Macaca mulatta: one gene and its partner. The protein of the gene in region 2 interacts with the protein of the main gene of each other region in a pairwise test. Links are inferred from orthologs where the notes say so. Each region holds a gene or a part of one and is shown on either strand. Other genes may lie near its edges.

The links. The genes of interacting proteins can lie anywhere in the genome.
Region 1: the proteins of FHL2 (region 2) and CSN2 interact in binary tests that used the Homo sapiens proteins (3 or more experiments, as listed by UniProt). The two-hybrid records come from large-scale screens. The link is inferred for Macaca mulatta from reciprocal best matches to the Homo sapiens genes FHL2 and CSN2.

The regions. Positions count from the first base shown.
Region 1 is NC_133410.1:63,895,447-63,898,422, forward strand, and holds part of CSN2 (beta-casein), read left to right. Parts: intron 1-627; coding exon 628-654; intron 655-759; coding exon 760-786; intron 787-1,780; coding exon 1,781-1,801; intron 1,802-1,892; coding exon 1,893-1,937; intron 1,938-2,976. UniProt on the Homo sapiens protein: Important role in determination of the surface properties of the casein micelles.
Region 2 is NC_133418.1:13,501,029-13,504,786, reverse strand, and holds the start of FHL2 (four and a half LIM domains protein 2), read left to right. Parts: upstream 1-1,223; 5' UTR 1,224-1,520; coding exon 1,521-1,775; intron 1,776-3,758. UniProt on the Homo sapiens protein: May function as a molecular transmitter linking various signaling pathways to transcriptional regulation. Negatively regulates the transcriptional repressor E4F1 and may function in cell growth.

The DNA.
Region 1 (2,976 bases), on a different chromosome or scaffold from region 2:
TACTTTATAATAAAGAAGAATTTCATGAAAATTATCTTGACTTCTATCAAAATCATTTATATTTACCCACTGTCTCAACAGTTTCCTATAGTGCTCCAAATGCTTCCGACACCAATGTGCTGCTAGTCACTAAAGAAAAAGCAAACAAATCAATAAGTAATAAAAAATCATAAAAATGGCAACAAATACATGCATAAATAACTCCACAGATGCTCAACCTAGATAAACATATCTTATTCCAGTCATAAAATGTATATATATCTTATAGCCTAGGGCACTGGGTCCAAGTCTGTCTATACAAAGGCATCCATAGGATGAAGTACAGACACAATCATAATCCTAATCATACATTCATAATAATATAGTAAAAATATTTAATACAAATTAAAGTGACTCAACCATCAAAAACTGTCTTTAATAAATGTAAGATAAAAGTATATTAATAAAAATTACTAAATGTAAAAGACATTAAAGCAATTACCTTTCAAGCCTCAAAAGTCATATAACATTTTTAATTTGTCACATTTGTGAAAGAGATAGATCTGCATAAATGATGTAAAAATTAAGTAGGATACATGTTTAACAATGTGTTAGCTGTAGAAACTGAATTTTTAAACATCTTTTCAGAAGGAACAATCCAGTGCATCCTTTGAGGTAAGATTTTTTTTGTTTAGAGAAAATTTATGAACCATAAAATAGTAAAATTCTCTAATGATCTAGAAGATGTAGCTGGTTGTCATTTTTTTTTTTTTTCCACAGACTGTAGAAAATCTTTCAAGCAGTGAGGTAAGTTAACATTCTGCCCAATTTTAGAAGAGTAAAATCCTGTGCTATTTTTCTATGGTGTTATATCATGGCAGTTAAGCTAATGCCACTATGTCAATGACATATAAGTTCTAGTATACATTTCCTTTATATATGTTTAAGGACAATAAGTATCTGGAAAATACAACATTCTGGAACTTTCTAAATTGGCTTGCTACTTGAAATTGTGTTATGTTGCTTCCTCTTTTTTTTTTTCTTTTTTAATGAACCATACAGTCCTGTTTTCTGCCTTGAACTCTCTTTACTCTGAACTCATTCACTTTGAGCATATATTGAGGGTCTTCTATGGGTCAGACATCGACTAGGAGCTGTGGTACAAACTGAAAAGATAGAGATGCGAGTGATAGTTAAGAGCTTGCTAAGCAGTAGGTAAGCAGATATGAAAAAGGTCACATTTTATAATTACAATTGCCACTTTAGCAAATAAGTGAGATTTAGTGTAGTCCTAAATCTACCTGAGAGAGTCAGGTAGATATTTATTCTTACATCTCTCTTCTTGGGTGTGTGATCACTTGATAAGTAAATGGTACCTCAATAGACTCTGTTTCTTCAGGAAGGTTGTATGATCCTTAAGGGAAATGTTTAACTCTTCTGATTCATTTGAAGTGATCATAATGTATCAATTGTTATTAGAACATATTTTCAAAGAGTATTGCCTTTTTTAAAAAACCAAATGGGGTTTTAGAGATCATTTGTTGTCAGGGGATGAGCATGGTGGTAGAGAGAAATTAGCATCTATTAATTGCTTTTTTTGTGCCATGTCCTTCTTGACTGCATTCATCTGACTTTCTTTTATACAACAAGCTTATATAGAACAATTTAATATATAAGCTTTAATGATTATACAAAGTTATTAATGATATTATCAAACAATTAATGCCTTTATTTCCTGATTTATATTGCAAAGTAAGAATTGTTAAAACTAAATCTAATTTTATTTTATATTTTTCCATAGGAATCTATTACACAATACAAGGTAAATTTTCACATTTAAAATGTACATATTTTCAAAATTTCCTCTAATTTTTACAGATGGTAACATATTTTTATATATGATTTATTTTTAGCAGACAGTTGAGAAGGTTAAACATGAGGACCAGCAGCAAAGAGAGGTAATTTGTTAACGATAAGTATATTTCTAAAATTATCATAAAGTATAATACATACAAAAATATTTATAATGTATATGTTGATTCTAAAGAATGGTAATAAAATAAATGCCATATACCCACGAACCACTGTAAAAAAATTAAACATTGATAAAGTCAATATATTTTCTAGGATATGCATGCATTTTTAAACTCATAATTAATTTCTGGAATATAGACTAAATACATAATGATATTACTAATGGTATATCTGTTTTCAACAAGCGCACATTGGTGGGAACATTTCCAGGTTGGGAACTATGATCCTCTTATTTTCAAGGTGGATATGGTAATGAAAAGGAGTATACAGCTGGTAAAAAATAAACTATGTAGAATTTGTGCCATACTGCCTTCATTCCCGTATGGACAACACAAAATCCTGTATTTCATTAAATTACATTTATGGTGATATGTTTACCTAATCACAATTTTCAGTTGCTTTGTGTATCAATGAATTGTTTGGTATCACATAAAATATTTTTAAAATCAATTTTAAACAAAAAAATCAATGTCTCTTGAAAGACTCAAGAGACTATCTTCTCCCAAGGGAAGGAATGCAAGAATTTGGCTGGTGTTAAATCACTTCCTGAGATAAGCCACAAATTAAGACTGATTTTCTTTTTCATCAAACCAAAACAAAACAAAAATGAACCTTGGAATTGTCCCTCTAAGTCTTTTTAAACTGACCTCTTTTCACTGTGTGAAAACAATTTGGTCTATTATTGGCACAACTGTGTTGAAAAGTAAATTCTCTCTGAAGACCAAAGTGTACAGTTACAGCTATACAGGCAATTCAGGAAAAGGTTAAAAGAATGTTTCTGAAATATCCAAACATTGATTTCACTTTGGCCTGTGTAGTTACCCATGAAGTGAGTGGATTAAAATCTTTCAACAAACATTTTACTCATTTTTCCTCACATAACTCAAGATAATTTCTTAACAAAATAAGTGAAATATTTTCTTCCTCTCTTTCTACTCATTTATCATTGCCTAAAAGAGAGAA
Region 2 (3,758 bases):
GACTTGTTTTTACAAACTGCAGCTTAAGGCTCACCATTTGAGAACTAGGAGACCATTTCCTAATATGTAACAATAGCGACAACACAGCTAGGTAGCTGTCAGGGGCTGGGAGCCTTTTCTACACAAACTTTGCTCTGAATTTCAAAATACTAGCCTGCCTTGACACTTAGTGGAAATTCAGGGAGGGTGGCCTTAACTCAGGTTCTTCAGGGAAGTGTCCCGTTTCAGGGACACCGTGGGGTGGGGTTAGGGGACGGCTGTATTCCGCACATCTAGTTCTGGCTGGGCTTATGGCAAGTCTCAGTCCTCTGGAGTCACCTGAGTGACTGAGGGATGAGAGGCATTTCTGATCCCGTAATATACTTACATGGTTTTGCCATCTACCGGACTCCAGTTCAAATCTCAGCTGGCACAGTTACCTTTCACGTGGCCTTGAGCAAATCTCTCTGAGCTGAACTTTCCTCACCATAAATCTGGTAAAAATCTTTACCTTAAGGAAGTGTGGATCAAATGAGATACCAGGTGGAGCTAGTGCTCATAGAGTGGAAGCTAAGGTGATGAAACCCTTGATTCTCAAGTTCTGTGATTCCATGATGGAGATCCATGAGGGCTACCAGATGGGGAGTATCAACTAAAAGAAAGCAATCACGGAGTTCTTCCTGCCTTCTCTGGAGGATGTATTCCTATGAGCTGCCCTGAATGTTAAAAATAATACACCTGCCCCCAAAGTGCCTAGGACGCCTTTGTTGTCCACCTGCTCATCGTCCATCGGTTTCTGCAAGTGGACCAGTTACCTGCTCAGGAGCAAACGTTTCTATCACGATGCACCCTCTCCCAGGGATGGGCTCAGCCTGTGCTCTCCCTGCGACAATGTTGAACAGTGCCATCTGTCCCTACCCAGCGTCAGTCTCACTCAGAGGGCACAGGCTTGGAGTGTGGGAGGCACGCTCCCAGCTCACTTTGCTTTTCCCGCCCTGGAGGGGAATCCAGGATGTCTAACTAGTCTTCTGGCCCCGAGAGGGAGAGGTAGGGATAGGACCTTCCTTTAGTCCCCTCCCTAGTGGAACGAACGATTCTTTACGGTCATCTGTGGGGTTCTTTTCGTAAAGAAGCATCTGCAGGGTAAGAAGGAAAAAAATCCACCGTGCAAATACATCCCAGGCACATGCCTCCTGAGAAGTGGCCCCCTCCTCCCTCCGCCGTCCCCGGCACCTCCTCGGGCTTCGCCAGCTTCCTGCTCCTGGGAGCAGGCAGAGATCCCGGCGTGGGCAGACCCCTGCCACTGGCGTCCAGGCCCCGTCCGAAACTCACGCCCACGTCGGAGGAGACTCTCGGGATAACCAAGGTGCTCCCAAGACCCGGAGGGCAAGAAGAAAGAGCCCTGGCAAACAAAGGGCATGGGCCGGGAGCGCCGCAGCCCGGGGCGGGGGCACGGCGACCGCTAGGCCAGGGGGCGCCCGCCCCCAGCGCCCCACGCCCGGTGCCAGCGAGCCGAGGCGTGCATCTCCTTATATGGTCAAATGACACGGAGGGGGTTCTCGAGGGCGGGAGCCGCGCAGCGCTCCACTCGGCCGGCAGCGGAGCAGCAGCCACCAGCCGCCCGCGCCCGCCCGCGCCGTCCGGGAGTCCCCGGGCCGCTGCGGCGCCGTGAGTACCTCCAGCTCCCTGCGCCCCGGAGGGAGGCCGAGGGGCTTAGCCACCAGGACTCGGAAGAGGGGGCCGAATCCGGTGCGAGACCCGGGGAGAGGGGAGCAGATCCGGAGTTGGGGAGACCGGTGAGTGGAGAGGAGAGCTGTGGGTCGGAGAAGAACCCTGGGAGAGGGGAGCCGAACCGTGCGGAGAGAAGCCGGGAGAAAGGAAATGAGCTGTAGGGTAGACCCGGGAGAGGGGAGCAGATCCCTGGGGGCTGGGAGTGGGGAGACCACGGGAAGAGGGGAGCGGAGCAATGAGAGGGGGCTAGACCCTGGGGGCGCTGGAGCTCAGAGGAGCCCACGGACCCATCCCCAGAGGGGGGATTACAGCCCAAGTCCTCACCAGGTGGGGCACCGCCATGCGGGCAGGGGCTTGGCTAGCCTGGGTAAAGGCTGGCCGCGGGTCCCAGCCGGCGGCTGCGGGGAGGTGACGCTGTCCCCTTGCTTCAAGGCCCGACTCCGGAGCCGGTTGTCCTGGCACGGTGGTCTGCGCGGGGGTGTCCGGGCTATTTCCCTTCAGTAGAAATAAGTGGAGCTTGCAGTGTGACCTCACTCCTTGACTCGTGTAGACATTTAATAACTGAACCATTCGGTTAAAAAAAAAAGGCGTATTTTAAATGAAAAAGATTCTAAGTTTTTCTTAAGTTGCACTCGTGTGATATCTTAGCATACTAGAAATTGAGGGAAGAAAATACTGTTTTTCAGATTTTAAATGAATCAATCATATTTACTTTCATATCCCCAGTCAGGTTTTAATTGGAAGTAGGCTAACCCCGTTAGCTGAAATGTGTAGCTGGCCTCCAAGCAGCAGTGAACTTAGACAGCACTGAACTTAAGGCCCGCACTCCCTTCCACATATTTTGGAAGGTAATAAATCACAATTTGGGCTTAGAATCAGGAGAACTGTCTTCAAAACACAACTCCAAATACATCTCACATTTTTGGTGCTGACTCTACTAACGAATGTTTTATAATAATATATTAAAGAAAAGAGGTTTTGCACTATCCTGAAGATGTTTTAGACCAAAAAAAAAAAAAAAAAAATTTGCAGCAAGTCTTAGAAGTACAGGAATTCCTAGTCTATCAATTTAATTTTAATAAAATCAAACTCAAAGAACATTTCATTGTGCATTTATATAAAATTTTTTCAAGTGTTACTGGATTTAGATCACCCTCCAATTTAGAAGATCATCAATTGATACATAGAATTGTGTTTTCATGGTGTTTATTAGCCTGCCATGGTTTAAAATGCGTTTACACCATCATATGTCGATGAAGGCTAATGATGGGCTTACTAAAGACCAGAAACTGTTCTGGGCACATAGATTCTGTCTCATTTTAGCTCACGGTCTCACAAATAACCACAGGCAGATGCGGTAGGCTAGAGGATGCGGGGGACTGCATCTAGGCTGCCTGAATTTACATCCGGGTCCCTCAACCTGTGCAGCCTGGGCCAAATCACTTCATGTCGTGGTGTCTCGGTTTCCTTCACTGGGAAACAGTGACAATGATGTTGTCTCTTTGGCAGGGTTGTTAAAAAGTCTGGACATCATAGACAGTGTGTACCTATTTGACAGCCTCATTTTTACAGGTAAAGACACTGAAAACAGAGATCAAAGTAACTTTAACTCAGGGTTTCCCAGGCTGTAAATGGTAGCCCTGAGATCTGACCCCAGGCAGCTTAACTTGAGAACCTGAGTTCTAACCCTAAACACACCACGGGAGGAACATTTGAATATTTATTTATTTTTTAACATTTGAATATTTCTATGAGGCCTTATGCTGCATTCTTTGACCCAAGATTGCGTGTTAAGCCACTTCCAGTACTGAAAGATATTTAAATTGCAGTCAAAAACACCCAGTAGAATATTGCACACACACACACACAAATCAGACTAGATATCAGTTTACTCCCGTCCTGTGCTGAGGGCCAGTTATTCAGCCTCTGTGACTCAGGCAGCTTCCTTTGTCAGCACCGGGGCCTGAGTTGGTAAAGTTGGTAAGCGGCTCTCTGACTCAGATGCCCCGAGGTAAAAAGTTCCTTGAGCCTGGGTGAATGGAAATGTC